4 linked regions of the Drosophila melanogaster genome follow. The protein of the gene in region 1 purifies or fractionates together with the protein of each later gene. This does not show direct contact. Each region holds a gene or a part of one and is shown in the gene's direction. Other genes may lie near its edges. The genes, in order: thoc5, Hpr1, Hel25E and PCID2.

What was found.
Region 2: the proteins of thoc5 (region 1) and Hpr1 purify together in Drosophila melanogaster (affinity purification with western blotting; 5 studies listed by BioGRID, with this or other methods). This does not show direct contact.
Region 3: the proteins of thoc5 (region 1) and Hel25E purify together in Drosophila melanogaster (affinity purification with western blotting; 2 studies listed by BioGRID, with this or other methods). This does not show direct contact.
Region 4: the proteins of thoc5 (region 1) and PCID2 purify together in Drosophila melanogaster (affinity purification with western blotting; one study listed by BioGRID). This does not show direct contact.

The regions. Positions count from the first base shown.
Region 1 is NT_033778.4:23,952,259-23,958,234, forward strand, and holds thoc5 (thoc5), read left to right. Parts: upstream 1-1,832; 5' UTR 1,833-1,905; coding exon 1,906-1,980; intron 1,981-2,040; coding exon 2,041-2,835; intron 2,836-2,889; coding exon 2,890-3,002; intron 3,003-3,060; coding exon 3,061-3,148; intron 3,149-3,201; coding exon 3,202-3,738; intron 3,739-3,794; coding exon 3,795-4,037; 3' UTR 4,038-4,148; downstream 4,149-5,976. Other genes in the region: Stoml2 (stomatin like 2), read left to right, coding at 1-176; CG3803 (uncharacterized protein), read right to left, coding at 280-1,132, 1,191-1,323, 1,381-1,483, 1,565-1,657; CG16787 (uncharacterized protein), read right to left, coding at 4,163-4,924; alpha-Catr (alpha-catenin related), read left to right, coding at 5,932-5,961. UniProt on the Drosophila melanogaster protein: The THO complex is required for cell proliferation and for proper export of heat-shock mRNAs under heat stress.
Region 2 is NT_033777.3:5,817,758-5,824,209, reverse strand, and holds Hpr1 (Hpr1), read left to right. Parts: upstream 1-2,769; 5' UTR 2,770-2,877; coding exon 2,878-2,955; intron 2,956-3,022; coding exon 3,023-3,706; intron 3,707-3,863; coding exon 3,864-4,150; intron 4,151-4,208; coding exon 4,209-4,511; intron 4,512-4,565; coding exon 4,566-5,319; 3' UTR 5,320-5,416; downstream 5,417-6,452. Other genes in the region: Sec20 (secretory 20), read left to right, coding at 1-505; CG46303 (uncharacterized protein), read right to left, coding at 1,863-2,129; CG42675 (uncharacterized protein), read right to left, coding at 5,452-5,961, 6,023-6,058, 6,143-6,452.
Region 3 is NT_033779.5:5,537,174-5,543,942, reverse strand, and holds Hel25E (helicase at 25E), read left to right. Parts: upstream 1-1,628; 5' UTR 1,629-1,760; intron 1,761-1,944; exon of another isoform or gene 1,945-1,973; 5' UTR 1,974-2,021; coding exon 2,022-2,220; intron 2,221-2,286; coding exon 2,287-2,510; intron 2,511-2,606; coding exon 2,607-2,790; intron 2,791-2,852; coding exon 2,853-2,971; coding exon of another isoform or gene 2,972-3,163; exon of another isoform or gene 3,164-3,642; coding exon 3,643-3,774; intron 3,775-3,833; coding exon 3,834-4,236; intron 4,237-4,298; coding exon 4,299-4,312; 3' UTR 4,313-4,617; downstream 4,618-6,769. Other genes in the region: Lam (lamin), read right to left, coding at 149-611; CG14015 (uncharacterized protein), read left to right, coding at 4,833-5,186, 5,260-5,855, 5,914-6,142, 6,211-6,483. UniProt on the Drosophila melanogaster protein: Required for mRNA export out of the nucleus. Probable RNA helicase that may regulate entry into mitosis by down-regulating the expression of other genes whose activity may be rate-limiting for entry into mitosis during embryogenesis.
Region 4 is NT_037436.4:11,624,059-11,629,132, forward strand, and holds PCID2 (PCI domain-containing protein 2), read left to right. Parts: upstream 1-2,382; 5' UTR 2,383-2,421; coding exon 2,422-3,609; 3' UTR 3,610-3,657; downstream 3,658-5,074. Other genes in the region: Akr1B (Aldo-keto reductase 1B), read right to left, coding at 56-140, 204-289; CG6083 (uncharacterized protein), read right to left, coding at 668-722, 793-1,494, 1,559-1,701, 1,858-1,926; Apt1 (Acyl-protein thioesterase 1), read left to right, coding at 4,396-4,443, 4,505-4,536, 4,903-5,074. UniProt on the Drosophila melanogaster protein: Required for the export of nuclear mRNAs and involved in mRNA trafficking in the cytoplasm.

The DNA.
Region 1 (5,976 bases):
ATGTTAATGGCTTCGTGGCCCAGGCCCTGGCGGTGTACAACCACGTTTCCAACTCTAACCAGGCCACCAAGTCATCGGAAAACGTGAAGGGTGTGGGCGCCTGCCTGAACGCAAAGAGTGTTGAGTACAAGGAGTTGCAGGAGGATAAAAGCAGTGTGAAAATGAATATTGAATAGGAATGAATAAACGGTTGTTGCTATTACATTTGCCCCACTCATAGTTGTTATTATCAAGGCGAGGATATTAAATTTTTGGTTCAACAAATAAACGCCTATTTATTTACTTCGGAAGGTACTTCAACAGTCGAACCTCGTGCGACAGCCACAATGCGAAACTCAGCAGAATAAGCGAGCCCGACTGGTGGGCCGTTGCCAGAGGCACGGGCACGTAGTTAAGCAAGGTGGTTACGCCAAGCGTGGCCTGCGTCCAGGCCATAGCCACCACGGCGTTGATGGCCCAGTTGGCGCGCTTGGGCAACTGCATCCTTCTGGTGACCAGCCACAGAGCGGTGGTCAGCGTTACTGTGCTAATACCAAGGATGCGGTGATTGAACTGCACCGTCGTCGGATTCTCGGTGATGTTCTTCTGTATGGGCGCAAACGTCCACATGTCATCGGGAATCCACTTGTCGCCCATCTTCGGGAACGAGTTGTACACGAGTCCGGCGTCTAGTCCGGCTACAAAGGCTCCAGAAATGGCAGTCAGCAGGACCATTGCCTTCGTCAAATGCGTCAGCCCCTTGATATTAAATGCTTTCTTGGCTTGGATCACGAATGTGTTCGTGGGGATGAGCAGGGACATGGCCTTTGACAGGGAGAGTGAGTACAGGACGAAGGCAGCTGCCAGGTGGGAGGCCAATCTATACTGGGATACCCGTGGCACGTCGTTGGGATCCTGGAACCTGTCTTCCAGCCCGGACTTGACCATGTACCATCCCATCAGACCTTGCAGGCCAATCAGTGTGCCCAGCAGCAGGACGCTCTTCTTGGTCTTCGCACAGAAGTATCCCTTTCTCCAGAAGTAAACAGCGGGCAAAAGGAAGAACCCGCCGATGGCACGACCCCACATCCTGTGCATGTACTCCATCATGAAAATGAACTTGAACTCCTCCACGGTCATATTCACATTCTTTCTGAAAGCAGAAGTTTGCATGTAGTTCCTGGCGTTGGATGAATCTGGGGAGTACTCACAGCTTGTACTCTGGGTATTGCTGGTAGAGATTGAACTCCTGCACCCATTCCTCCTGGGTTCGGGGCATACGTTCACCCGTCAGCTTCCAAGTGACCATGGACAGTCCGGACTCTGTCAGTCGGGTTACTCCGCCTGGAAGAGATTCACTTTCGCAAGGAACTACAAACTTTACATTTTGTTATTGGTTACCTAGACCAACGGCCACGAAGACCATGCCGCTGACTCCCAGGAACCATCTTCCGACGGTCTTGTCGCTTTTCGGAGTGCTGATGGGCTTTATCACTGGGATTTCCTGAAAGGTGCGGCATTAACAAATATTACTTTATAAATAAAAACATATTTTTATATGTAATCAGTGGGATATTAATGCAACCTTTATCGCTGTTTGCGCAATCGTCTGGTGAAGTCGGGGGCCGGGTACTACTAGCTTTATGAGATTGGTTCTCTTCTGGAGCAATCGCAGCATTGTGTTATTTCAAGTTTGGAGAGATTAACTTAAGCTTACAGCAAATATTAAAGGATATATTTTGTTTTTTAACTATATTTACAAAGCCGCTACCAAGTGTGACCGCAGCAGTGGGGTATGCGCATATACTAAAATCATTTTGAAAAGTACCGGCGAATGTTATCGACTCGATAGCCTGGCCACATTATATCAGTTTTGTTAATAAAAACAACTTTTGCGGCTTCTGATTTACAATTTCGCCAAATAAAATGGAAACAATATTGAACACGCAGTTCGATCAGCTGCAAAAGGCCATAGAGGGAATTAAGGAGGCGAAGAGCAAGGTAAGTCCGATTTCCGTGCCAGAGTACAGCTCTAAATCCGTCCACATCCGTCACGAGCAGGGGCAATCGACGGATGAGGCTCGCATTGCCACCACCTTGATGTTCGTGGCTCTGAAGCACGCCAACCGCGAGGTGAAGCACAAGATCAAAGCGGGGCGCGACAAGCTGCACCTGGAAAAGTGCAAGGTGGACCTCAGCCGGCTGCAGCTGCAGAATCTTCTGTACGAAGTGAGCCACCTGAAGAAGGAGATTGTGCGCTGCCAGAAGTTCAAGAGCAGGGACACCAGCTTGGAGCTGCTCTCGGAAGCCGAGTACTCCAGCGAGCTGCCAGACATGCCCAACGACGCGGAGGAGCTGTCCAGCCACAAGCAGCACCTTCATCGCCTCGACTGCGAGCTGCGTCTGCGGAAGGCACTCGACAAGCAGTACAGCGCCCTGCTGAGCTCCAAGCAGGAACTGCTCCAGGACAATCTTAGCCACGCCCAGCGGTACGTCTCCTTCGCACCCGCCTTGCGCACTCTGCAGAGCGCCACAAAGCCGCTGCACGATGCACTCCAGCTATCCCTGGACGTGGAATGGAAGCTAAGCGCAGTGGTCAAGTACCTGCCCAAGCCGCTCTACGTTTTGTTCATTGTCCTGCAATCGCTGCAGCGGGTCAGCGAGGAGCAGTCCTTCACCGCCGAGGTGGTTGGCTATGAGAGCGAGGCTCAAATGCAGGAGTTGCTTAAGGAGAAAAAGTGCTCCACATTGAACTACAGACAGACTAAAAAGGAAAGTGGAGACCGGGAAAAGATTGCCGATAAAAACAACTTGGACGACTCACTCGCTCCTCACCCACTACACATTTGTTTGACGGTAGGATGACATGGTTTGCTCATTCCAAAACATTTATTAACCTAAACTTTAAAGATTGGAGCGGCTGGATCGAATCAGCTCGTTTTGCAGATTCGCTACTTTGATTTTATCAAGTGTGCCACTGTCTGGGGCCAACTTAACTGCTCCAGGAATGCCAACGGCCAGGGGTAAGTTTGGAACACACCTAGGAAAAAATCGCATAAATAACTAGGCATTTTTTCACAGTGACACAAACTTTGTTCACCACCTATTGCGGCATTTGTACCCCAATGACTTGGGCAATGAATTACCCATTCCGGGAATCCAATACGAGGTAAGAACTTCCTTATCCAACGTTGGACAACCAATTAAATTACGCTCTTTCAGCTACGAAGCTCGGATTTAACAGCCGAGGAATGTGTGCGCTACCTCAAGGCCAAGGACTACGGAAAACCCTTCTGTTGGCTGCAAAGTATGTGCTCGATTGCAACCGTCAACAGTTCGATGCTGTACAAACACGAACTGAACTTGAATAAGAACAACAAGGAGATTATTGACCGCATTGCCAGGCGCTTGAACTCTTGGCAGCGTTTAAGCCAGCAGATTCGCGGGCTGACCTTCAAGGATATCGATTTGTATAGCTTGCAGGAGAACATCTATCCAGCCGGCCTGTCGTGCAGTCTCGTCCAATGGACTGCCATCACACATGAGGAGCTTCACTCGCAAATTTCAGACGCACTGAATTCTTCGTCAGCGGACAAGGGTATTACGTACAACTCTTACCGCGCTGTCATCGTCCGGGGATCGGCCAAAATGGAGTGCTTTATTAGAATACCGAGTAACTATCCACTGGAAATGCCTCTATGGATTCTGAATGTGCACTGGAACGGATGCCTTACCGCGCAAAACAATTCGGCGATCAAGGTTTGAACTTATTCAGGTATTATCCTCCAATTAGCTTTTAAACTTGTATTCCTCAGATGATGGAGTTCTGGACCAACTCCCTGCAGCCCAAACATTTGGAGCCCAACGACTGCATCCTGTACGCGCAGCTCTTCCGCACCATCTACAGCTTCGATATATTCCTCGAAACCGAGGGATCCATGCAAAACACCATTGAGTACAACAAGGAGAAGCCTTACATAAGCGCCTTCGCCAAGCGGAGCCGCTCACGCCCCTACAAATACATCAAGAAGGGATCGGTCTACGCGTTCAAGCAGTGACAGTTGAATAACGAATGTTGTACAACACAATGCGCCAATGCGGTTACTAAACGTTCTCACAGTTGCGTTTATTACGATTAGTAATACAATAAATAAGTAACATTTAAAGCTAGCTAGCTACGACTTCATTGGCAGTTGATCTTCTGGGAAGAGGTCGCTGCCAAGGATCCGGGAGGTAGTGCCGTCGCAGAAGGGTTCTCAACCGCCTCCCGACTCTCGTCCGGCATCACTTTGTCCACGACGTGCTTGACGATCAGCCCATCGTCGCCCAGATAGCAGACAGAGTAGCCGTCGTACCAGGCCTCCTGATCCTTCAGCACCTCCTTCAGTTGCCAGAGCTTGTACTTCCAGAACTGGAACATGACCTTCAGGCCGGAAATGCCGCGCACTCGCCACCTTATCCGCACTGTGTAGTCGTCCTGGTGCTTCGTGATCTTGAGCACCTCGAATTTCACGTAGGCGTACTTCAGGTGGCCAACCGTTCGCAGGATGGCGATCTGTTTGACGTAGTGGTACAGGCCCACCGTGTGCTTGCCCGTTATGTTGTTGTGGAAGATTAGGCCCGGGCTGTAAATGGAGTAGTCTAGGGGCTCCACGAACAGCTTTGGTAGCGTGGTCCTCAGAACCTCGTAGGCTCTATCCAGGTCCTCGGGCTTACGCTCGTTCTCCTTAGGGTTCCCGGGCAGCCTCTCCGCTTTGGTGCTCTCGTAGGCCCTTCGACTTTGCTGGAGGTTATTGGCGGCATGGCTGTTTAACAACTTTTGTGGACACTTCGCCGGCGCAGACGCACTTAGCCGCATGGCGGACGCCCACGCCCGCTCCTTGGAGCACCAGTTGGCCATCCAGCTGCTCCTTCTTATTGATGAAATCCCGAAATTTCGCAACATCTTGCAAGGACTTTGTGTGCTACTTCCTTCACCGGAACTGGGTTTCCTCGATTCAGATCTGCCTCGTCTGCAGATCACACCATTCAAATTGAACTTAGATCCTGGCTATTTTTCGTTTGCGGCCCTCAGGAATTTGACGTGCTCGTGTTTAGGTAACAACATTTGGAAATAAAATACTCGGCAAAAATCATATGGTCGTTGGGCTGCAGTGTGGCCAGACTGTGTGTAATGTCCCAATAGCTGCGAGTGCCAGTGTGGATGTTAGGGGAACTCCCGTTGTCCAGGGTTGTCATGCCGGATTAGTTTCACAAATTAACTTCCGCAACCGGAAGTCATGAAAATGGAAAATATAACTTATTTGGTTTGAATTTAGTGTTTCAAGCTTATTACATGAAATATGTTGTCTCTTTTTTGAAGTGCAATAATCTCAAACACTTTTCATTTATGTAAGTACATGGTTTTGGAGTTGCCTTATGCGGTTTTCTTGGTTGTTCTTCTGATAAATGTTTGGTACCTCAACAAGCATCGAATCCAGGCACTCGCATCCGCATCGAATCCCACAGGAGGCGTTTGACGAGAAACTGTTGCACTTTACAGTACTAAATGGTTTTGTGCGCAGACTTGCTGCGCAGACCAATTTGTTACAAGCTCGAATCACACACAAATCTGGGGGCATACACATATATCTGTCTGCAGGTAAACACGTTGTTTACAGCCACCCAGCTATATAACACTAATTTGAGCTGAGGAGCTTTCGCTGGCTGAAAAATCGACTTTTATTTGAGCTTAAACCCATAGAGCCTCGTACTATGACGCGCTAATCGGTGACCGTATTATTGAGTGCCAAATTCTCGACTTAGTTGCAATGTCTACTCGACTCTGCTAGCCCTAGTATTGAGAAAAATCAATAGGAAGTAAATAAAAATGCTGCATGCCTGAAACTCGCTTTGCGGATACTCTTAAACTACGTATAATCAATTTTTCTATCGGTAACCGAGCTATCCAAAATGTACGGAATCACTCAATCAACTGTTAACGTAAGTACCCAACCG
Region 2 (6,452 bases), on another chromosome or scaffold:
GGACGACTGGGCGCGGGACACGGCAGACTCTGCGCTGGCCAATGAAGTGGACGACCACCGTGATCAGTTCTCCAAAACGCTGCAGGCGTTCCGAAAAGCAAACGTGTCCACGATGCTGGAGATCGAGAAGGCCAATCGGGAGGAGTTAATGGCCATTACCGGCGAGAGTGAGCTACGCCAACGAACCACAACACGGGCGCGGCACAACCAGGGCAGTCTGGTTTCGCAGGAGAACGACGTGACCGAGAAGATGCTGGCTATATCGCGGCACCTCTCGGAGACCACCCAGAAGAGCGCCATCACCCTGGAAACGCTCGTGGCCTCGTCGCAAAATGTGGAGGCCACCAGCGACGAACTGCACCACACGGCCGGCAGCATTAGCATGTCCGGCAAGCTGCTCAAAAAGTACGGACGACGCGAGTGCACTGACAAAATGCTGCTCTTCTTCGCCTTCTCCTTGTTCCTCGCCTGTGTCTTTTACATCGTCCAAAAGCGACTCTTCTAAGACTCCACAAATGGACAAAACCCGTTCCCAAAATAGCTTAAGGTTGTCGCTTCTGTTGTCTAGGTATAGCTAGATTAAGCTTAGCACATGACCATACCTTGTAAGCACAGCTCCTATATTTATATTATTTAGTGATTTGCCTAAGTTGTAAACGTGGTACAGCCAAAGACCCTAGAATAACAAGATGCGTAACGCCATACGATTTTTTGGCACACGATTTTTTGGCCGTGGCTCTAGAGGTGGCTCCAGGCTCTCTCGAATTTTTGTTAGAGAGCGAGAGAGCGAAGAGCGCTACAGCGAACAGCTCTTTTCAACGCACAAAGTGATAGCAGACATCTGTATGTGTGCACACGTATTCACATGCATTGTAAATTTGACAAAATATGCCCTTCACCTTAGAAGTTCTTTGGCTTTAAATCTATATTATTTTTTATCAATTGGCACCATGCGAAAAATTCTTGTTTTGCATTGCCTTAACGTTATTATTATTTGAAAATAGATTAGAAATAGTCAAATCTATGTACATATTATCACAAAAATAAATTTCAAAAATGAATTTATATAAGAATATTTGTCATTAGAGTATTCATCTTGCGGCGTGTGAAAAATTAATAAGGCAATGATTGTTGAGTGCTTGTGTCCGCACTTCGTGCCTCAAGATATGAACAAAGCAAAGACACTAGAATAATTCTATTGTCTTTGATATTACTTTTGCAATTTAATTTAATTGCATATTTAATTATTTAGTATATTTATTAAATCATTTGACTTAATATGATGTAACATTAACATTAAAAGTGTTTCAAAAAAAATATTTCGGTTTTAAAAAATTGTCAGATGAGAGACAAATTAGAATTAAACATAAATACAAATGTGTAAACGGTAGCTAATTCGAGCGGCGATTTTAACAAAGAAATTTAAAAAAGCTTTAAAATTATAATAGCCAGGGCGCGAATTTTTAAAAATTTTTTATTTTATCATATTGCTAGGAAATTGGCAAAAACTACCCTAATATGTACCATGTAAATTCGTTTCTTCGATCAGAATTGATTTCGGCCCGAAAATCGTCTTCTAGCACAACACGCACACTTATACGCGTTCTCGTCTCTTGTTTTTACTCACACAAGCAAGCAAATTATATTTTTAGATTTCTTACGCTCTAAGCGGGAGTGAGCGGAAAGAGAGTAATTTTGGCCGTCACCAAAAAAGTGGCTGCATAGTGCCAAACCAATGTATGGCCGTTACGCATCTTGTTATTCTAGTGTCTTTGGTACAGCCTAGTATAGTATGGTAAATGCAATTTATTTTTATTTAGAATATATGAGTGTTGTATATGTAGATAAAAATGTTAAGCAAGTTAGTAAGGGCACCTAGGCACTCCTCCGGGGTTTGTGAATCCGTTGGTGTTGACCAACCTGCAGATGTCCTTGTATGACCGCGCCGATTTTGCAGGCCTTTCTGGCTGTGGCTGGGAATAACCTCTGTTGTAATAGTCAGGATAGAACTGGAACCAAGAAGGCCTGTGGTAGTTGTAGTCGGGAAAAAATTCTTTAAGCACAGAGCTGCTGCAGAATCTGCTTAGCCCCAGAATCCACAGCAGAATGTATATAATCGACTTGCGCATGGCCACTTCGCCTGAGCTTAAGATTTGGAATAAAGCCGTACCCGATTCTCATTGTATACGCCTGGCGCACTTATGAAGCTTGTGCGACCTCGCACACAGTGGGAAAGTAATTGGAATCTGAAATCTATGCGTGATTGTCGGAATAGCTGATAGCGGGAGTGTTCGCGTGCCCCAGCTCAATGCTATCGTTATCTACAAACCATTCGGCCTTTAAATTGATGTATGATGAAAGTTTATTCAATGTGTGGTTTTTGACGTTTAATAAGAAAAATTCGATTTTGAGAAATGCATTTAAAATGCAATTTTTATTTATCGCAGTGAAGAATAAAATAATATATTTTTTCATTATATTTGTTACCAATTTAACAAAAATATTATGTAGTTGCTTTTTTAAAAGTCTTTCGGGTCAATAAGAAAAAAAAAGCTTACAAACAGAGTATTATGTTCTAAGGAATAGGACCTAAAAACCCTCATTACCTAATTGGTGTTTCAAAAACAGGTTTATGTGGTGCAAAAGGACAAATTTTGCTAACAAAAAAAAAAAAACACTTTTTTAAAAAAACTAACTTACAGGCGCCTAAAAAAAATTATAATCGATTTGTCATCGATTTTTTGGTCTTTAAAGTACTATAGCGGCGCATTATATACTAACCAAAACGAGTTGGCAGCACTCGTGATGTTTTGATTGAAAAAACAAATTAGTTTATTGTTTTTATCTGTTGTCGCCAAAAATATTATTTAAATCAATATGAGCACCGCCGTAGAAGTGGCTAACACGGCTCCGGAGAAGTTGGCCAACTACTTTGCGCTACAGTCGGCGTTTGAGGTAAAACGTTGATGAATGGCCCCGAAACCGGCAATGTTCCGATCTGATAGAAAATAATAATTTTCAGAAAGCCCTTGAATTGGCCATCACCGACGGCAAAGTGGAGCTGTTGGTCAAGGAGTACAATAGATTCCCGGCCAACACCGAGCACGACAAGCGCTTACCCATGGACCACGCGTTCCGCGTGCTCCTGATGAAGCGGCTGGACGAAGATGTGAGTCGCATTGGAGAGCTTGTACGCCTCTCCGTGGAAGCCACGCGGGCCGAGATTGTGTCCAACACCATACCCGTGGTTCTGCTGATCGACACCTTCGACGTGGTCACTCTGGACAAGTGCCAGAAGATATTTCAGTTTGTCGAGGATATGGTGGAGGTGTGGAAGGAGGAGATCTTCTTTTCCTCATGCAAGAACAACATTCTACGCATGTGCAACGACCTGCTGCGTCGACTTTCGCGCACCCAGAACACCGTCTTCTGTGGCCGCATCCAGCTTTTCCTCTCAAAGTTCTTTCCCTTTTCGGAGCGGTCTGGCCTCAACATCGTCTCCGAATTCAACCTGGACAACTTTACGGAGTACGGTCTGGACAGCAAAGACCACGACGAAAGCGACAACAAGGAGCTGGAGGATACCGCTGAGGACATCCCCCTAAAGATCGACTACGACCTGTACTGCAAGTTTTGGTCGCTGCAGGACTTTTTCCGAAATCCCAACCAGTGTTACAATAAGCCGCAGTGGAAGATGTTCCAGATGGTAAGCAGTGGCTTGGCACAATTACAATTGTAGAATATATATATATCTTGGAAAGAGATCAAAGATGTTTGCCAGCTAGCTTGCTCATAAATATTGGTTATTAATAATCCTGCCCCATGTTGGTTCATATTCATATATTGTTACTTTCCCCTTCCAGCACGCTGACAACATACTACAGTCCTTCTCGAGCTTCAAGCTGGAAGACGTGCGCCAAAGTAGCAACGAAAATGCGAGCGGTACTGACCAAGCAATGGATGTGGACGAGGAGGCAGTAGACACCACGGCGGTGTCTTCCGTCATCAAGGCGAATCACTTCTTCGCCAAGTTTCTAACCAATCCCAAGCTTTTGGCTCTGCAGCTCTCCGACGCTAATTTTCGACGTGCTGTTCTGGTGCAGTTTCTAATTCTATTTCAGTACCTGCAAGTCAGTGTAAAGTTTAAAAGGTTCGAATATGAAGAAAGTCCAGGGAAAACGAACAAACTTTAATGATTGTACTTTCAGTGATACTCAAACCTTGACTGCAGACCAGGCGGACTTTATCAAGGAAACAGAGTCGCGTGTTTATAAGTTGCTAGAGGAGACACCACCGTACGGTAAGCGGTTTTCACGGACAGTGTATCACATGCTGGCCCGCGAAGAGATGTGGAACAACTGGAAGAACGAAGGCTGCAAGGAATTCAAGAAGCCCGAGGAACCAACTCTCAGCGAAGAGGACTCGAAGCCAACTCCCAATAAAAGACCGCGCCGTCCATTGGGCGATGCACTGCGCGATGCTTCCCGCAGCGGCAAGTTTTATTTGGGAAAGTAAGTATCGAACGTAAGTCAAACTAAGCCAGTTCTAAAATATTTCACTTCCAGTGACAACCTAACACGTTTGTGGAACTACTCTCCAGATAACTTGCAGGCCTGCAAAAGTGAACAGCGAAACTTCCTACCGCTGCTGGAGACATATTTAGAAACGCCGCACGAAAAGGTTGATCCCGCTTTTGAGTGGCGAGCTCTGCGCTTGCTTGCCCGCCAAACACCGCACTTCTTTACGTCGCTCTCTCAGCCATCGAGCAAGATCTCCGATTATCTTGAGCAAGTGCGCAAACGTCTCATCCGGGACAAAGAGCCCAAACCTGCTGCCCTTTTATCGAACAACTCTTCTGAGAACAATTTTGGCCTGTCGGTCAACAACGTTCATACGGAGGGCGAGCAGGATGCTACGGTCGCCCTTCAGGACGGTGAACCAGAGCAGGATCTTGAAGTAGAGGACAACGAACCTGTGGTGGAAGAGGTGGATGAGGTACCGGCGCACGAGAAACCCCTTATGGTTACCAAAGAGCATATCGAAGAGGTGGCGCCCCTTATAGGCGAGCCATGGATGAAGGTGGGAAAGAAGATTGGCTTCACCAACGATGAACTTCTCTTCTTTCAAATGGAGCATCCTACGGCGAACGTGGCCTGCGTTAAGATGCTGACAAACTGGATATCCGATGACGACGACGCCACCCTGGAAAACTGGGCGTACATGCTAGAGGGATTGGAGATGAATAAGGCCGCCGAAGCGGTGAAGGCGATTATTGAGCGCGAAAAATCTGGATCCACTGCCGCCTTCTGCCTCCGGTAACGACGATGAGGTGCTCTCTGATTAGCATCATCCCCATGCCGATCCCACCCTAGTTATTATAATTTCGTTTCAATCATAAAACTTCTTTATCACAAGTAAAAGAATGGGCGAATATCTATTCCCAATCACCACTCAACGCCTCTTGGCCGGCGGACCGTTACGGGGCTTGTTGTGCACCATGTTAACGCACTTGGGGATATGACGCTCCGCAGCCTGTTCGTTGAATCGGCGACCACAGTGGGGACACTGGACATAGTCTGGATTCTCCGAAGGTGGCGGTGGTGGCAGGTCGCTCAACTTGCCGCCGCGCGCCAAGTGCGCCTTCACCTGCTTGGCCGCTCTAATCGACTGAATGAAGTCCTCGTGCTTCTTACGCCAGTTGTTCTTCTTCACTCCAGTGGTCAGACCCTTCTGCTGGGCAGCACTACTGTAAGTTGAACGGTTGCGATTGCCCTTCGACTTCATATTGAACGCCGCGGCCTCGGTGCCCTCGATCCGCTGCTTGGAGGCATCGAATATCTTGCGTTTGGTGGTCAGCATGCGCTGGCACACCTCCTCGTGCTTCGCCAGACGATCCGTGTTGAAGTGGCGTCCGCAGTAGCGGCATAAAGCGGTGCCCTCTGGGATTGCAGTCGTTGTGTCCTGGTAGCGAAGGGTAATCTTATTATACGCCCACTGCCGACAATTATTCTGCTATACTCACCATGTTGACCTTTTTAACTGGTGATTTGGGTTCCGCCTTGTTGGAAACAGACATTTAAAATAAATCCCAAATATGTTTAGCTTGAGACTGACACCTCCGTGCCACGTCGATGCTACTTACCCGTCGAACAAATGGTGGCGAAAGACGACCGGCTGTCGGGGCAGCACCGGTTCCTCCACTTACTCGTTGGGTCGCCTGAATCTTGGGACTGCGTTGTGGCGCGGGAGAACGTTGGTGGAGCGTGGTCTCCTGGGCCGGCGGTGTCTTGCGGGTGACCACGGGCTTAAGGTTGCGATTCAAAGTCCCGCGGGGCGTGGCGAACTTATTGTTATTGCTGTCACTAGTGATCCTCCTGCCTGGTGCATTTGGTGCATCCCGCATGGTCAAGTCGGCCACGCCCTTGACGAGACGCTGCATTGGGGGCTGCGGG
Region 3 (6,769 bases), on another chromosome or scaffold:
TATATACAGTTCAGCAACTAAATGAATGTTTCGTTCTTGCTTGAAACCACGCCTTTTGTCTCTTCTTACTTTTAATTTTATCATTACTCTACTTTCTTTGCCCTACAATTATAAGGTTTTCTTATCGATTCAGTTTCCACGCACTTACCCTCAGCAGTGGTGCACTCCTTGGTCTTCTTGTCCAGCTTGTTCTTGAGCTCCTCGTTCTCCTCCCAGAGACGCTTGATATCGATCTCGGCACGAGCGCGATCCCTAGCTGTGTCATCGAGCAGACGGCGCGTCTCCAGCAGCTCGGCCTCGAAGATGTTCTTGATGTTGGTGGTCTCGCGTGTGACCGTGTCCCTGGTGGTCTGCACCTCGATGGTGAGGCGGGAGTTCTCCGTCTCCAGGTTGCGCACCCGGTCAATGTAGGTGGCCAGGCGATCGTTCAGGTTCTGCAGCTCCACCTTCTCGGCCACGCGCGAGTGCCGGGTGGGGCTGAGGGGGCTGGAGGCCGTCTGCGAGTGAGTGGACGGCGGCGGCGGCTGCGGACCCGCCGATGGCGGCCGGGGGGTGGAGGTGTTGCCGGGCTGCGGCGTGGCGGTGCCAGCACGTCGGGATTTGCTCGACATGTTCACGCTGCAAGACAAATGAAATGTGCAGAATAACACGTGAGATTTTTGTGACTGACCTCTTTAGGACACAACACTTGAAGAAAAGTTGAATAACACAATTGCGTGCCTTCTAAACGCGTTTTATATGCAATACTTATATTTGAACTTTTTCGTTCGGTGTAGGGTATGTTATTTTTGCGCCCTGATAAAATTCCAAACAGAACCGAACACGAAAGAGGGGAAACGCACAAAACGCTCAAAAACAGAAGCTAAACGAGTTTCTCTAACGCGCTCTCTCTCTCTCTCGCAGTCTCCTCTACGTCTCACTCACACACACGCACATCGCTTTCCACTCAAGCGACTGTACTAAAGCGGACGAGGAAAACGAAGTGAGTTTGTCGGCGTTTGTTTATGGGCGTGGAGGCAAATGGCGCGGCTAATACTAGTTTAATCAATCGCAACGCTTAGCTAATCCAGTCGACGCACTTTAAACGATTTGATAAGGAGCCAAAAATTGCACAATATGGCGATTTTAATTCAATATTTACAGCGACTTTACACTAATACAGGCAGGGGGGTTATTTCGATTTTGAGTGAAACAGTGCCGCCTCTATTGTTCGGCACTTAATCAGTTATTTCAACTTTTTCTACAAGTTTTCCTAATGCTCGTAGATAGCAGCGCAACTCACCTGACTTTTTATAACGAACGGAAAATGCACAAATTTGAAAATGAAGTATCTTGCAGCAGGAAAACGCGGCCGACGCTGGAACGTGTAATCGAATTTGTTGCGATGGTTTCAGAGACTAATCGATAACTTTCCGGCATGCCTGGTGTGACCAAACGCCGCGCTAGATAAAAGACTAAGAACCGCTTGACCCCAAAATGATAAAAAAAAAATTAAATTTAAGCTCAACAAGCCATTTTAATTTAAAGCGTTAGAAGGCATATATTTTATAAAAACTTTTTAGTTGAAGCTTACAAATGGATTTGTTGTGCACAACTATCGATAACTTAACGATATCACCCGGCTCAGCTCGCATGAGTTCTTAAACGTACTTCGGTCACACTGCTCTGCGCTGTTTTTTCCTCCGCATCACGTTAAAGATTTTAAAATAGTTAATTTCACTTTAAAAGCTGTATTTTAAAGTGATAAACGTGCACAAAAGGTGAGTTTGACACTGAAAATCACACTGCACTAAATAAAATCGTCGCTTGTAATGGGTATTTCGTTTTATTTCGAAATACATGTAATGCGGTGCGGTGAAAAAACAAAATGGCGGAGGGAACGCCGGCACCGGTTCCGCAAAAAAAAGCGGCATTTTCTTTAACAAACACATGTAACTTATCTAGTCGCACCCATTTTATTTCCCAGCATTTAGTTGCGAATTTATAGCCGATAACTAGTTAAAGGTAAGAAAGCCGCAGAAATGGCCGACAATGACGATCTTTTGGACTACGAGGATGAGGAGCAGACCGAGACCACTGCGGTCGAAAACCAGGAGGCCCCCAAGAAGGATGTCAAGGGCACCTATGTGTCCATTCACAGTTCCGGCTTCCGCGATTTCCTCCTGAAACCGGAGATCCTGCGCGCCATCGTGGACTGCGGCTTCGAGCATCCCTCGGAGGGTGAGTACTTGCACTCCACCTGGAGTGACGAAAGGTACAGTCACTAACGATGCTCTCCGCTTGCAGTTCAGCACGAGTGCATTCCGCAGGCCGTACTGGGCATGGACATCCTCTGTCAGGCCAAGTCCGGCATGGGTAAGACCGCCGTCTTCGTTCTGGCCACGCTGCAGCAGCTGGAGCCGTCGGACAACAACACCTGCCACGTCCTGGTCATGTGCCACACCCGCGAGCTGGCCTTCCAGATCAGCAAGGAGTATGAGCGATTCTCCAAGTACATGCCCACAGTCAAGGTGAGTCTACGTTTTAATCCATTGTATATAATTCAACAAAAAGTTTGGTTCGACTATATAGTTACTATATATTAATTCGATATGTTTTCTATTTAGGTGGCTGTCTTCTTTGGCGGAATGGCTATTCAAAAGGACGAGGAGACCCTCAAGAGCGGCACCCCGCATATTGTGGTGGGCACCCCTGGCCGAATTCTCGCCCTCATTCGCAACAAGAAACTTAATCTGAAGCTTTTGAAGCACTTTGTGCTCGACGAGTGCGACAAGATGCTGGAGCAGCTGGGTAAGTTGACTAATAATCACCAAATGACGGACGTTTTACTAATAACCAAACCATTCTTTTAGATATGCGTCGTGACGTTCAAGAGATTTTCCGTAGCACGCCGCACGGCAAACAAGTGATGATGTTCTCTGCCACATTGAGCAAGGACATTCGTCCCGTTTGCAAAAAGTTCATGCAAGATGTAAATATCAACGTGTTCATAACCAAAATGCTCGTACTTCTCCACCTCGCATCCACCGCTATCACGACAATTAGTTATTATTTTGTTAATGCCACGCGATATCGAACATTCGATCTTGATCCCCTCCGTATAAGCCAACCACCATCTTGCAAATGGTTAAACGCGTACAACCAAACGTCCAGCGCTCTGTGAGCATAACTCGTATCGAAAAACTTAGTTAATGACTATCGGACACCATTTTCTAAATGGTTAATCGTGGAAATTGGCAACCGTTGCAAAAGCATAAACAAGCAGTAACCGCTGAATGAATCAATTGAAATCGCAAAAGATTTAACAATACCAACGCTAGCAAAAACCAATACCTAAATAAAACTACAAGCAAACAGCAAAGATCCCGCCGACTGGCCGATGAGACGAGTTGAATCAATCCAGAGCGAATGCGATGCGATAGGCCCGCTCATCTGTAATCCGCACACTTCTCAGAGCGATCATCGATCCTCGGGAGCAGTTCAGAGACTAGTTGATGAGATGTGGTGGTAGCGTGGCCGTATGTAGAATATTCTATGCATATTGTTGTATGTTCCGAGGCGAGCCTAGTCTAAGTTCGATTTCTCTGTACCCCTCCTAATTGTGTCCTTTAAAATGCGCCACATTCTATTTCCCAAATCCAGCCCATGGAGGTCTACGTCGACGATGAGGCCAAGCTGACGCTGCACGGACTGCAGCAGCACTACGTCAATCTGAAGGAGAACGAGAAGAACAAGAAACTGTTCGAACTGCTCGACGTGCTCGAGTTCAATCAGGTAGGTCATTCGGTGGTCTTAACTTATATTTACCACTTACTTGATTATCCCTGTCATAGGTGGTCATCTTTGTGAAGTCTGTGCAACGTTGCGTGGCTCTGTCGCAGCTGCTGACGGAGCAGAACTTCCCCGCCATCGGCATCCATCGTGGGATGACCCAGGAGGAGCGTCTGAATCGCTACCAGCAGTTCAAGGACTTCCAGAAGCGCATTCTGGTGGCCACCAATCTCTTTGGCCGCGGCATGGACATCGAGCGTGTGAACATCGTGTTCAACTACGACATGCCCGAGGATTCCGACACCTACTTGCATCGCGTGGCCCGTGCCGGTCGCTTCGGCACCAAGGGACTGGCAATCACATTCGTTTCGGACGAGAACGACGCCAAGATACTTAACGAAGTACAGGATCGTTTCGATGTGAACATCAGTGAGCTGCCCGAGGAAATCGATCTCTCTACATACAGTAAGTTGCAATGATGAGTAATCCCCAGCCACCAGCAGTGCTAACTTGATTTTCTTTTCCAGTTGAGGGACGCTAGAGCTCGAAGGTGCATGTTAATCGGAACAAGACTATGCACTTCGAATAGATACAAACCTAAAACCTTTTTTAAAACTCTACTTTATAACTAAATAAAAACTATTCAGACAATGTGTTGACAAACAAAAACGGAATTATAAGTAATGTATTTATTTTGGGAATGGATTCTAAAACCCACTTGTTTCACATTTCCGTTTAAACTATTTTATTTGTGAAAATTTCTGGGGCATATTCCCTTAAATAACTTAGCAATATTAATGTGTACAATATTATAAATCAACTCACAATAAAATGTCCAAAAAAAATAACAAACTCGCATATGCTTTAATGGTGAAATGGTAATTGGGAACTCGCTGGGCATAGTTTAGTGTGTCCGTTTCAGGACATGCGCAATGGCCAGGAACTTCCGGCAGCTGCATTGCGACAGGAAGAGAAGGGGTTGTGGGGTGGAGGTACGAAAAACTGGGGACGAAAAACAACGAGGACGTCCAAACAATGAGAGAAAATGCACGCTTGCGAAAATGCTGCTAAAAAAGTATGTGAAAACGCGGCGTAAGCTGAAGATTCTACTCCTGCTGGCCATCGTCGCCCTGCTGGTCATCACCATCATAGTGCTGGGCTCCAGCGGACGCAATGCGGCCATCGAACTGCTGCTGGACGAGCGATTCATCGCACGCGCCTACAGGCCCGGGGATCAGCCCCAAGTGGCGGAGAAGCCGCCGCCGGTGGCCGTCGCGCTGCTCCAGCCGCAGCGGGAGAACGGAGTGATTGTGCCCGAGAAGTATGACGAGCAGAAGATCAAGGAGCGCATCATTCAGAGCAAAATCGATCTGATGAAGCAGCAGCAGCAGCGGGACCACGAGGCGGAGCAGTCTGTAAGTTTCCAGTTCAGTCCAAGAAGGTGGCCAATCTTAGTCCTTAAATCTTAAAAATGTACACTTTGTTCAGTCGCGTACCACTTTGGATGTGGTGATCAGTGCAGTGCACATATTCTACACTGCCCCGGTGCCGTGGTACAAGTCGAAGAAGCCGCCTCCGCCGCCAGCGGAGCACCCAAACGATGTGCCACTGACCACGCCGCGACCAGTGCGAATCCTAAACACCGCCTTCTATCCGGCACTGGGTCTGTACAAGCCCAGTGGCTCGCTGCTGGCCCAGCATTTCGAGAACATACGCAGCTGTGGCATCGGTGTGCTCATCCTGAGCTTCTCCGGTGGCAAGCCCGCGGAGGCGGCACTGCTGCATCAGATCTTGGAACTGGCACCGCAGCACAATCTTAGCGTTACCTTTGAGCTCAGTGTGGCCGGGAATCAGAGCGTGGAGTTTGTGCGCCAGCAGCTGCAGGAGATTGCCACATACACCAGCCTAGCTGGATTCTACAAGGTGTGGAGTCAGTCGAGAGGTGTCTCCCTGCCGGTTCTCTACGTGAGCAATGCCTACAAGTTGAGTGATAGTCTGGGAAGGCTGTTGTGTCGATCGCCTTCGCTGGTGGAACCGGATGGTCTGCGGAGAATTCTGGATGCCTTATTCATTGGACACATAAGGTGGGGTGCGCCTTAGATTATCCTAGGTGATTCTATATATCCTTTCGTTTCTCTCCAGGCTCAAAAGCCATGCCGATGTCCTGCGGAGGTTGTGCTTCGATGGCTTCTACAGCAAACTGCCCAGCAATGGAGCTGTCTTCGCCAGCACTTGGAAGAACTGGTCGTATCTGAAGTCATTTGCGCTGTCCTACAAGATGCTCTTTGTGCCCACGGTGGGTCCGGGATTCGCGGAGAGGAACAAGTTTCCGCGACACGGAGACATCCAGCGGCATCGCAGCAATGGACGGGTGAAGGAGCAGCCATCAACTGGAGTGCCAGAACAGGCTACTAATACTAATATCATTTGATCTTGCAGTACTATGGCGTGGCCTGGCGGACAGCCATTCTCAACCACGTGGGCTTCATCAACATAGCCAGCTACAACAACTGGCCGGATGGCAGCCAGATCGAGGAGGTGATGCCACGCGCCGGCTTCCTCGACTACAATCCGGGCTCGAGAACGAAATATCTGGATCTCACGGCCCATTGGGTGGGCAACTTTCTGAAGACGCGACAGGAGGCGGCGGCAGCAGCCTCGCCAGCATCGCCGCCCAACTGTTACGAGCTGCTCAATGGAACCATATGCTAGGAGCGCACCAAGTGGGACTAGTTAGGAGCGCAGCGGAGATAATCCTAGTTACTTTAGAAGCAATAGCAACGATTGCAGGCCACTCAATTACTTTCCAACTGTTAAGAAGTCTTCTGCTGCACACATTTACACACTGCATAAATATATCGTTTTGATAGTGATATTTTTGAAAACGCGCGCCCAAATGTCGAGTTTTTTGGCGGGAAATGCAACGCACTTCATTCCAATTACATAAGTAATTTAAGTACTAAACGCCAATCAAAAAAAGAGAATTTTGAGAAGAGGT
Region 4 (5,074 bases), on another chromosome or scaffold:
ATTTATCAAAACTATGGCATAGATATGAAAAAACAGACATTGTCATAATATTTACATTGAAAGTTCCGAGCCCAATTACTGGAATCTCATTTCCGTCCAAGCAAACCACCTTGGGAGCTCTAGCATACTCCTTCTGACACCTACAATATTTGTGGAAATTATACTTTTGATGCTTTGTTCGATTTGATTTTCCTATATATTACCACATAAATCGCTCTGGTTTCCCATAATTCCTCAACGTAATGCGAAAAACAGGCCTAACCAATTGAATTTTCATTAGAGTGTTCATTTTGCACGCCAGTAAATTTTAATTATTTGTGTAGAGACTTCTTGACGGATGGAATGCAATGGCTACTTGGTTTTAGTATTGAAGCCTAAATGAAAAATAGCAAAATAAATGTGTATATAAAAATAAACAGCCACATTTTAAATACAGCTTAAAATGCCCACCAACTCAAAGGCTACAATTCGATTTTACACACAGCAAAACAGTTTAATTATATTATATTATTATATTGTATAACAATAATTATGCTAGACTTCTCAGTATAAAGGAAGTACCTGGACATCATCAGTATAACTCTGCAGATCGCCGCATACAATCTTACTTATCACATTAAAGGCAATCAGTTTAAATAACTACTTGTACTTCTAATATTAATTAATATTAATTATCTACTTTGGCTTTGGGTTCAAATGGATGATGAGGATGTCCATAGGCCCTAGGAGAAAAATAGAAAGATTCGAGATATTTCAAGTTAAAACCTAGGAAATGAAAAGAGCAACACCTACGCCTTCATGGTCATAAAACGCCCATTGCAGTCCAATTCGTTAATGGCCTGTATGTCATCGACGGCCAACTCAAAGTCCCAGATTCGCTTAAAGTTGTCCAACATGTGCTGTTTGCTTACTGATCTTGGGATGACAATTATACCCGATTGTGTCTGAAAGCGTAGGAGCACCTGTGCCGCAGTCCTTTCGTATTTCTCAGCTATAGCCAAGATGGTCGGATGCTGGAGCAGTGGATAAGCGCCGGGCTTCTCGTAGGGCGTATGTCCCGATCCCAGGCAGCTGTAGGCGGTCACAGCAATGGCATTGTCATAGCACAGCGTAATCAATGGCTTCTGACTAAGGTACGGGTGGCACTCGATTTGAAGAACTACCGGTTTAAGCTTGGCCACACTGAGAAGTCTATTCATCTGCTGCTCATTGAAGTTAGACACACCGATGGCCTGGCACAGACCCTCGTCCACCAGATTCTCCATTGCACGCCACGTGTCCACATAGTCGATGTCCTCGAATGCGGCCTTATTGGTGTCCGGACACGTGGGATATAGGTTGTCACTGCCCGACTTGTAGGCCATGGGCCAGTGCATCAGGTAGAGGTTTAGGTACTTGACTCCCAAGTTCCTTATGCTTGTCTCACATGCCGGGCGCACCAAATCCGGCTTGTGGTGTGTGTTCCAAAGTTTGCTCGTGATGAAGAGTTCATCTCTGCAGTGCAATATGTATTTATGGCTTAGATAAACGATTGATTAGGCCTGAAAGCAGCACTTACCGTGTGACCACTCCCTCGTCCATTTTCTCCCGGAGAGCAGCTCCCACTTGCGCCTCATTGCCATAGATATGAGCGCAGTCAAAATGGCGATAGCCTATATCAATAGCATCCTTTACTGCTTGGGTCACCACTTCCGGCGGGCTCTAAAATGGCGAATAAAACGTAAAAAGCTGAGGTGCATCAAAAGCTTTTGCTTGACCCCGAAGAGCTTTGACATTGACCGTGAAATATGCAGTGGAAATGCACATTTCAGCTGGCTATTATTTAATAACAATATATATCTATGTAAAAGTACTTACCCGCCAAGTTCCGAGACCCAACATAGGCATATTTTTACCATTGCTCAAGAGAAAATTCGGTGTCGACATGTTTGAATCCTTTTGCTCCTTGTGAAATATGTTGTTGCACTGGCTTCGTTTTTGGAAAGCTTTAATTTGTAATTTACTAAGTGAACTATACTCAAAGGCCTATTAAACTGGCTAGAAACAGCATGTCTTGTGACAGCTCTGCTATCACAACTATATGTACGAAAATTGTTTAAATTTAGAATCTTTTGGGCAAGCAAAAGACCTTCGCGGAATATAATCGATTCGCTGCAGAGGGAAATTTTAAAATTTAAAACAAAAAACTCTTTTTCTGCGTTCAGAGTTTTATTTTATAAACCGAGTATAATGTAAATAAATACCTTTTTTTAATAAAATAAAATAAAATGTTAAAAAAAAAACTTTTGAAAAAATATTCTTTGTATTATCGCGTTATAAAAAACAAAGACAATCGATAGAAGTTTCCGATGAAAACATCGCATTCGCAGATAGTGCCTGACCTACCATCTCTAATTTTGCCGCCTGCGAAAAACACAAACAATGTTCGGCACCGTAAATAACTATTTATCCGGCGTTTTGCACGCCGCCCAGGATTTAGATGGCGAGTCCTTGGCCACGTATCTCTCCTTACGAGACGTGCACGTTCAGAACCACAATTTGTACATTGCCCAGCCGGAAAAGTTGGTGGATCGATTCCTGAAACCGCCACTGGACGAAGTTGTGTCCGCCCACCTGAAGGTGCTGTATCACCTGGCACAGGAGCCTCCTGGTTACATGGAAGCCTACACCCAACAGTCGGCAGCCTGCGGAGCCGTTGTGAGGCTTTTGCAGCAGCTGAAGGACGAGAATTGGTGCCTGCCACTAATGTACCGCGTGTGCCTGGATCTAAGGTACTTGGCGCAGGCCTGCGAGAAGCATTGTCAAGGATTCACACCTGGCCACGTATTGGAGAAGGCTGCCGACTGCATAATGGCCTGTTTCCGCGTTTGTGCCGCTGATGGACGAGCTTCAGAGGAGGACACCAAGCGTCTGGGCATGATGAACCTCGTAAACCAGCTATTCAAGATTTATTTTCGAATCAACAAGTTGCATCTGTGCAAGCCCCTTATCCGTGCCATCGATAATTGCATCTTCAAGGATTCTTTTCCGCTGCCGGAGCAAATTACCTACAAGTATTTTGTAGGTAGACGGGCTATGTTCGACTCCAACTACCAGGCAGCCGTACAGTATCTGTCGTATGCCTTTAGCAACTGCCCGGATCGGTTTGCCAGCAACAAGAGGCTCATCCTCATCTATTTGGTGCCAGTGAAGATGCTGCTGGGATATCTGCCCAGCAAATCCTTACTGCAGCGCTACGATCTCCTGCTGTTTCTCGATCTGGCTATGGCCATGAAGGCTGGCAATGTGAATCGCTTTGATGAGATTGTCAGGGACCAGGAGCTGGTGCTGATCAGGAGTGGTATCTATCTGCTGGTGGAGAAGCTCAAGTTCCTCGTGTATCGCAACCTGTTCAAGAAGGTGTTCGTCATCCGGAAATCGCATCAGTTGGACATGGGTGACTTCCTCTCCGCCTTGCATTTCGTTGGCTTAACCGATGTTTCTCTGGACGAGACGCACTGCATCGTGGCCAATCTCATTTACGATGGAAAGATTAAGGGGTACATCTCACATGCTCACAACAAACTGGTCGTGTCGAAGCAAAATCCATTCCCCTCAGTGTCCCTTTAGTGCATTTTGTAATTATTGTGAATTTTTAAGAGTAAAAGAATCCAATTTAATCAGTGTATTAGTTTACTGGATGGGGCATGTGAATGGAGGGCACCAACGATGAGTATAAGACCTGAAGACTTTGAATTTAAAGTACCTTCAATTCTATTTGGTTATAATTTTGTTTGGTTTTTCGAAACCTATATGTTTCAAATCAACTTATGAACTAATAATATAATTTTTGGTTATAAATATGTTTATTTTTCAACGGTTTTAAACTAATACCACTTTTTAAACTTAATCGAACTTTGGAATTGATATATATCGATTTTTGTGCTCGAACCGATGTATCGACAGCGGAATCGGTTTCGGTCACATCTCTAGGTCCACCGACTATCACTCATCTCTGAACTTTTTGGAACGCAGCTGCATGAATTGTCGTAGTTGAGCGAATTTAAACAAATTAACACAATACTTGTGGTATTACCTGGTAAATGATTAGAGCCTCATTCGCGCAAAGTGTACATAAGACAAGTGGCGAAGATTAGATCTAGTTAGCTAGTAACCATTTCTCAGCCGGCGACGTGTTGTCATTTTCGCAATCGTAAAATCAATATTACTAATTTTGCTTTGCGTTTACAACGTGACATAACTAAAACGCAAACTACAAAGTGTTTCTTTTTCACTGCATTGCAGAAATCCGCTGACACCGAAAAAAGCGACGAAAGCAGCGCCAAGTCGCCGAATCGCAGAGTACCTGGAATAGGAATAGTGCGTCCCCAGTAGAGGCTAAACTGAACAGCAGACATGGCTGCGCCGGTCATTGTCGAGGCCACGGTCAAGCAAACCGCCACGGTGAGTAGTCCGCCGTAGTCCAAATTCCGGAAGCCCTCGACTAATCACTTGTGTATTGCAGCTGATCTTCATGCACGGCCTGGGTGATACGGGGTAAGTGGGGTCATCCTCATTCAAAATAATGCTCCCAAAGACTTCATTCACAAAATATTGAAGTATGCGAAACAGAAATATTTGCACATATGAAATTAAAAGGATTTTAACGCTTCAGTTCCTATGGGAAAAAAAAACAATTTATAAGCGCTTAGGGTGTTCTAGATTCAAGTAACTGATGAGAAGCCTTCAGAGTATTCCCCAGTTAAGCTCATTATGTATATCCCATACCATTTTAAATTCGTTCTTCCTTTTAAATTATTAGAAAACTGCAAACAAAACTTACCTAAGTAAATAGAAGTTTTTTTGAGTGAAAGAGTTATGCAAAATCCTTCTTATCTCGTTAATGAATGCCTTTTCCAACAGTCATGGCTGGAGCAGTGCCCTAGCCGCCATCCGCCCACCTTTCATGAAAGTCATCTGCCCCACGGCGCCCACACAGCCCGTTTCGCTGAACGCCGGCTTCCGCATGCCGTCGTGGTTTGACCTGAAGACGCTGGACATCGGTGGGCCCGAGGACGAGCCGGGCATCCAGTCG